Linked DNA regions of Rhinolophus ferrumequinum. The protein of the gene in region 1 purifies or fractionates together with the protein of each later gene. This does not show direct contact. Links are inferred from orthologs where the notes say so. Each region holds a gene or a part of one and is shown on either strand. Other genes may lie near its edges.

Region 1 (3,743 bases):
CGTGTGGGTCATGTTCTCGGCCCCCTGCTTTACCTTCAGCTCCACCTGCAGCTGCCTCTGCAGAGCCTCCAGGTGCCGGGCCCTTGGCTGCTCTGCCAGAGGCCAGGGTCCCGAGGCCACAGGTTCTGTGTGCATGAAGTGTGGAGCACGTGAACCCCTCACTCCTTCCCTCCCTTCCCCTCCTGGGCACGGGCTACCTGAGGGAGATTCTGAGGGTGGTCAGGACCGAGGCCGAGGGGCTGGGTCAGCCTGTCGCCTCCTGTCCTGCGGGGTCTGCCCAGACTCCTCACTCACCAGCTGGGCCAGGCCCCGGGCTGGGCAGCAGGATGCGGGTGTGCAGCTCCTGCAGCTCGCCGTGCAGCTGCTCCAGACGGCGATTGGAGGATCGTAGCAGCTGCTGCACGTGGCCCAGGTGGCGGCGGTCTGTGGCCACCCGCCGCAGGTTCTCCATACCCTCCTTGATTTTTAGCTCCTTCTGGATGGCCCGACGGATCACCTCTTTCTCATCCTCAGGGGGCCGGTGGCCCACCCCAGGCTGTGGAATGGCAGAGAAGCTATGCCACTCAGTCCCCGCCGCCACCAGCCTCAGCTCACCACAGACAGAGGGAGAGGGAGGCATGGACAGCACCCAGGACTGACGCATGGGGTGTGGGAAGCATCTCTGACCGTGGAGCTAGTATCCCTAAGCCAGGTGGAAACCCCAAAGCTCTTTATCCAGCAGAGGCTCTGGTCCTCCACATCAGAGAGATGGGTGGGGGGGGGGGAATTTTCAACGTTCACGTGATACTACTGGGTGCCCGGTCTGTTCTAAGAGCTTTGCATATGTTAACTTGTCAATCCTGAGAACAACCGCAGGAGGTGTGCAGTTGCTATTTTATAGGTGAAGAAACTGAGACACAGAAAGAGATTAAGTAATCCGCCCAAAGTCACAACAAGGAGATACCACCACCTCCTGGGGCCTAGTCCCGCCCACCCAGTCCCGCTTCATCAGGCTGCTGGAGGGCTGGGCTGCAGGCTAAGACCTGCGGCCAGAAAAGCCGCTAGGGATTCACCCAAGGTCAGAGGCCTGAGTAGAGGCCAGGGCTGTTGCCTTGATGCCTCACCTCAGATGGCAAAACAGAGGCATAGAGAGAGGCTGGGGAGGTCTCCGGGGGCCCACTCCTAGCTCAGCTCCTGGGAGGAAGTAGGCTTTCTCATGACTTTACCCCAGGTTGGAGCAAGAAGAGGAAACCCTCATTCCCAGAGGCCATTTCAGACCATGGGGGGCCAAAGCTGACTTCAGCCCCGGGGAACCCAGGAGGCCCCCATGACTCCTGCAAGGCCTCCACCTTACCTCTCTGCTCTCCATCTCCTGAGCCTAGTAGAAGGGGTGAACACCCTGGCCTCTGGGACCCACCACCCCAAGCCTTCGTGGCCTGCTGGCCCAGCAGTCAGAGGGCAGGGGCGGGGCTCAGGAAATCCTTTGACGGCTCCAGGGGAGAGGGCCAGAGCCAAGGGCCTGAGCAAACAAAGATCCCATGGAGCTGGGGGCCAGGCCACCAGGGTCCTGAGTCACCCAGCTGCCACTGCTGGGCGGAGGTTCACAGGAAATCGGAAAATGTGTACAAGCCTCTGCTGGAACAGGCGGAGGGGCCTCCGGAGGAAGGGGGTGGGAGGGGGCAGACACAGCCCTGAAGGTTGCCTAAGCCGCTGAGGTGGGGGCACTCAGGGCGTCTTCTTGAGGTCTCCTCTCCCTTGAGCATGGTCCATGGTCCTGTCTGCTCAGGGCTGAACTCCGGCCACGTGCACACACACCTCTCCCTCCCCCGTAACAGACGTGCACACAGCCTTGGCCCCCGTACCCACCAGCACTATTGCCAGCTCTGGCAGGAACCCGCCTCCCTCGCCATTAGGGCTGGAACCCTCTGAGTACCCAAAGGTTCCAGCGCAGGCACTGGTTCCCTCCGCCTCGCGTGCACACTCTGCATGCCCACGTGCTCTGGGAAGGCCCCCCACGCCCCACCCCCGCAAGTGCGCAGGGACTGGCCCCTCCCGTCCCCTTCTCCCTGAGCACACGCATTCTTCTTCCCCTAGGTCGCTCCCAATGTGCCCGCATGGCCCCCCTTTGCTTCCCGCGCCGATTCCCATCGGCCTTAGAGACCTACCTGGAAGAACCGATTTTGGGAAACTTTGGGACCCACCCTAGTGGCTTTCACTGAGGATACAGACATGCTCGTGGACTGCCTGGCTGAAGGTTCTGAGCCACTTGGGGTGATTTGGGGAAGTTTCCCGGGTGCATGAAAGACTTAGCCCCAGTGCTCAGTTATGCCCTGCGAGGGGTAGGGCGGCCCGGGGCAGGAGTTGGGAAGGGACACGGGGCAGGGCTGGGGACGCGGCAGGAGTTCCCAGCTCCCAGGGCAGTGAATGAGGCTTCCCCGCCCCCCGCGGCCCGGCCTCTCCCGGTGCTGTTCACCTGCCGCAGCGCCCCCTCCTCCATGGCGTCGCTCCGGCCGCTCGGCCCCTCCTCTCCACCACTCCGGTTCCGGAAGCCCCGGCCCCTCGGCCAAGACTTTCAAACTTGAAACTTCCCGGGAAGCGGCGCGGGAGCCGTACGATCCAGCGCCCCCTCCCGAGGTCCGCGGGCACTCCAGGGACCTGGGATCCGAGACGCCTCTCGGCCGCGACAGATCGGCGCCCGGGACCCCACTCCCGAACCCAAGGCCACAGCGCCTCCCCTCGGATCAGAGGTTCCGCGGGATTTGGGATCCAGCGCCTTCTCTTTCGAGGCCTTAGTTCCGGCTCCTTGTGACACTGACCCCCACCCCAGGATAGAAGGGCAGGAAGGGACATTTCCCCGGCTGGGGTTCTCTGGTTGCCCCGCCGCGCGCTCAGAGGGGCGGGTCCGAGTGGGGACAGCGCCGCCTACCGACTGCAGGGCGCGGCCTGTGTGGCGGGTCGGCTCCTAGACAGCCTTTTCTCCGAACCTCACACCATGACCTGGCTCTGCTCCTAAATTTATCTTCTCAGATGTCATTGGTGTGAAAAGGGCTAATCCCAAACCTGTCGCCCCCAAGAAGTCTTGGCCCTGTCTAGTCACTATAAGAACGTATGCGTCTGAAAAAAGTAAAGTCTAACCCAAGTTATGCCAAATTACAAATCAGATGAACAAACCGAAACGTCTCTTAGGCCCCCACCCCTTGATCCAACTGGAGATTTTCTGTCTCAGCCAGAGCCACTGTTCCACCAGCCCCCTCACAGATTGGAAAGTGAAAATGGCAAGCCACGGACAATTCTGCATTTCCCTGCAATGGGAAATCAACGAAGTGGCATCAATAAATGCAAAGGCAACTTGGTTCAGTGGGGGACATGCCTACATCTCATAATCAGAGGCAAGTCGGGGCACTTTTAACTCATATACGTATTAATCATAGCCTAGCCCAGCACATAGTAGGCTTTTTAAAATGGGAGTTATCAAGCTGTCCTGAGCTGAATGTTAACCATAATTTAGAAAGACTATCAACTTCTGACTGCAGGTCACAGGCTTGAGAAAAACACACCATGAATTGAACTAGCATTGCTCCTGCTTTCAGGAGGATGTCTACTGGATCCTTTATCCCCTCCTACAGCCAGAAAGCTGAACTATGTCGAAGAACTCAAAATTATTTTCCAAGTTTGCTGAGAAGTGTTTCACTGCCTCACTAAGGGAAAGTTCAGTAGCAGAATCCACCCATCCATGAACCCCAGGATGGGCAAACCTACAGGGA
Region 2 (3,743 bases), on another chromosome or scaffold:
CAAGTATAAAAAAAAATTTTTAGAGCTGGAAGAGACTGTAAATCATCTAAACCAGTGTTACTTGTATAATTATGTATTTACTTTTAAAAACATTTGCTTTACATTTACAGTAGTGATAAGGATCGTTTGAAGAAAAACAGTACACAAATACTAACATAGTAGTATACAATGTAGCAAGCACCTAACAATAATGGAACGCCTGAAGTCTGGGAACTAGTACTTAATCAAATATATCCTCTTTATTTTAAGAGGTCACGTTTAAGTAGCAGTATTAGTATAAGAGTATAGTTAGTAGTAGAGTTGGATATACAGAAATCAGAATTTCTAGTTCCACGTAAGTCTTCCCCCAAGGTATAGGGCTGGTCCATTCCATTAGACGACTTCAGTAACTCTTAAACCCTATCACTGCATTGTTTCCTTCTACTCAAAGAATTCTTACCCTTCCCCCCAAAAAAACAGTAGCAGGCAAATAAATTGCTAGTCACGCACATGCACCCTCTTCAGATTCAAGGCCAAGATACAAAATGCAAGTCCAAATTCCAACAGGCCTGGTCCGGGGGGTCCATTCTGGGCTAGTGGGATGGGGCAGGATTAAGAACTCTACATCAGCAGGACCTCCATCTCGGGCTCAGACCCACATGGGGGTTCAAAACTAAGCCCCACTGCTAGGATTATGTGGCTATGGGTTAGTGATTCCCCCAAACCTGTTCTGTCATTTGTAAAATGAATAATAGCTCATGAGATTATTCACAGGTGGAGCAGTACCCGGCATGGACTAAGTCTGTAGCCACAAGGGCAGCAGAATTATTCCCCACTACATTCTCGGTGCCCAGCACATAGCAGGCACTCCATACATTCGCTAAATAAAGCAGAGGCCCAATTGAAGCCAGCCTGAGATTCAATCAAACTTCGGGAGCCCAACCTATAAATGGGGTCAAGAATTCCCTAAACCAAAGAAGGTCCTGATCATTGACAAAGGAAGAGTCTTTTCTCACAATTCTATGATTAATTCACCCCTTAAAGATTGGCACCTGCTGTCCTGTGGTTCCATTGTCTCCCTCTTCATTTTTAGAAATAACAGGCTCACAAAATGACATCTCAGGCTGTTGACTTCTGTTAAGTCTTCTTTAAAAGAGGCCTGGGAACAATTCTCACAGCTAGGTCCCTACTCTGCCAACACAACCTTTCTTGGCTAAAAGGTATCACCTATTAAGAAATCCATCACAGAGACAGGAAAAGAAAAGTCAAAGACAATTCCACACTCTGTCTTCACCTTATTCCTGATTCTCAAAACTCAAAGATGGGCTGAACTATTTTTAAATTGGTAGACTGAAAAGGAACCAAAAAAACGATCTTACAATCCAAGGCACTCATCCCCAGAGCACTCTTGTTTGGCCGGAAGGAGAAACTCTCTGGCTCTGCAAAAGTCAAGGGAAAAAAATCATACACTGAATGCAAATTTCATCTCTCTCCTACCAAAAGGAATAAGCAAAAATGGTTTTTTCAAAATGTTACAGAATCTTGAAGGATGAGTTTAAACTTCTCTTTTCTAAGCGAGGACCGAAGACATTCCTTCTCAGATCTTTGAATTTTCAAGGATAACAGGAGAGTTAAAAAGGAGAGGAAGGGAAAGGAAGAGAGTCAGGATATATTCATTCTATTTTTAAACCCTCGCCCACAGTTTTAGAGTAAAGAACACTCGGATTCTCTAGTCCCACCCCTATCAGCTTCTGCTAAACACAAGAATCAGAACCTGCACACGTACGTGGCCCTGATTCCAGATTGGGGAGTACTGGCTGCCAATACTCCAAAGAATCGCTAGCTAACCAACCTTTCCTCCCAGTCCTTCTCTGGGTGGCGCCTGTGCCTTTCGGAGAACCTGCGGCCCTGAGCAGGCTGGAGCTGCGTACAGGGAGCGAAGCAGTGCAAGCCGCCTTTTCCCGAGGGAAGGCAAGCGCCCCCTTGGCAGGGAACAGGCCAGTCCCACGGCTGGACACCCAGGGTGAGCAACTCTTCCCCAAGGGAGCTGGAGTCGTGGATGCGATGGGAATTCCCAACAGGATGTGGCACACCTGGCACGAGAGCCCCACTCCCGGACACCTGTGTGCCGCGCTCATCCACCATGGTGACCCAGAGCACCACTTGCGCTCGGTCACCTCCGGGCCATCCCGGAACGCAAACGGCTGGGAGACGGGTCTCTTTCCTCAACGGATTGTGGCTGTCTCGCCCATTTTACGTATCCCTCCTTCCTCATTACAAGCATCTACGCCCATCCCTCAGTGCCCCGAGGACAGAAAAGCAGCCCGGCGCACGGACGCCCAGGGGAGTGCCGTCCGACAGCCCCTCCCGCCCCGGGGCCTCGTCCCCGCCGGGCTCGGGGGGCACTCACTCTTGAGCGCGCTGACGAGAGACTTCCCGTCCTTGATGAGCTCCTTGATGAATTTGTTGGTCTTGTCCAGCTCCGCTTCGTGTGACTTGAGCGTCTCTCGGAAGTGCGGGCTGTCCAGACAGCAGTCGCTGAATTCCAGAGCAGGGAGCCCCATGGTGCCCGCGGCGCCCAGCCGGGGGGGCGCGCCTCCCCCGGGGCCCGGGCGGCCCGCAGCCCCGAGTACGCACGCAGTGGGACCGGGGCTGGCACCCTGACGGCCGTCGGCTCCACAGGTGTGGCGCCGGCTCGCCCTCCGCTCAGTGTCCGCCTGCGCGCGTGAGTCCTGAACCGAGCCGGGACCCGGCTGCTGGGCGGCGCGCTACGGAGCGGCGGACCTACAGCGGCGCCGGGAAGCGAGCGAGCGGGCGAGCTAGTGCGGCCGCCGCCTCCCCGCCTCTTTCGCTTGTTCGCTCTCCAGCAGCCTCGAGCGCCCTCTCACAGCAGCCTCAGCCGCCCCGCCGGCGTCCGGGCCGCTCGAACCTGCTAGCGATGACCTAATCCCAGCCGGACCAATCAGCGTGCCCGCCTCAGCCCGACCCCCCGAACCTCCCAAGACGCTCGGCCCTTCCGCGGCTTTGACCCAATCAGAGAGGCCTGGAGGCGGGGCCTGAGGCAGAGGGCGGGGCCCACGCCACCGCCTAGGGCCGCAGCACAAGCTCCGCCCCCTCCCGCCCGCGCGGTGTGCAGACCTAGAGCTTTGGAGGCAATCGCTGCGGTGCTTGGGCCCTGATCACCTACGATCTTGCCCGCCTGATGTGGTCCCGGTCCGAGTCCGAGATGGTGCGTCTGCAGGTCTGGGGAGCGAAGGAGGTCAGATGTGCCCAGCACGAAAAACTGGGAATTAGGGCTGCAGTTCCCCTCTGCCCGCCCTGTATTGCTGGGCAATCGAGTTTGCATTCAAAATGCAGCCCCTGCCCCGGAGAAACCCCAGTGTATCAAGCAACCACGTTGACCCTTAGGCACTCGCTCCTTCCAGTCAGGGAGAAAATGTTTGCATCTTAAAATTACCAGCTCTTCTTGTCTGCAGTCTTCCCGCCCCTACAGTCCGGCCGCGTCACAGCCACTCCGGCTTTAAAACCCGCCCACAGCTGCCCTTAGCTAAAGGATCTAATATCCTTATCAGAATTTCATCCGCCTGTTGTTTTCCTGTTCGGCATCGAACACAATTTTACATAATTTCTCCCACTGCCTGTCGTCTTCGCTACACGAGGGAAGGGACACCGCAGTTTTTTTGTATGCTGCGGAATCCCCAACACCTAGAATTGGTTGGCACTGAATAACATTGAGTGCTCACCATGCGCTACTTGTGCTATGG

The links. The genes of interacting proteins can lie anywhere in the genome.
Region 2: the proteins of PKN3 (region 1) and ARHGAP26 purify together in Homo sapiens (affinity purification with mass spectrometry; 3 studies listed by BioGRID and IntAct, with this or other methods). This does not show direct contact. The link is inferred for Rhinolophus ferrumequinum from reciprocal best matches to the Homo sapiens genes PKN3 and ARHGAP26.

The regions. Positions count from the first base shown.
Region 1 is NC_046295.1:77,464,458-77,468,200, reverse strand, and holds the start of PKN3 (serine/threonine-protein kinase N3), read right to left. Parts: upstream 2,420-3,743; 5' UTR 2,211-2,419; coding exon 2,145-2,210; intron 536-2,144; coding exon 295-535; intron 126-294; coding exon 1-125.
Region 2 is NC_046307.1:16,801,898-16,805,640, reverse strand, and holds the start of ARHGAP26 (rho GTPase-activating protein 26), read right to left. Parts: upstream 2,891-3,743; 5' UTR 2,544-2,890; coding exon 2,390-2,543; intron 1,419-2,389; coding exon 1,359-1,418; intron 1-1,358. UniProt on the Homo sapiens protein: GTPase-activating protein for RHOA and CDC42. Facilitates mitochondrial quality control by promoting Parkin-mediated recruitment of autophagosomes to damaged mitochondria.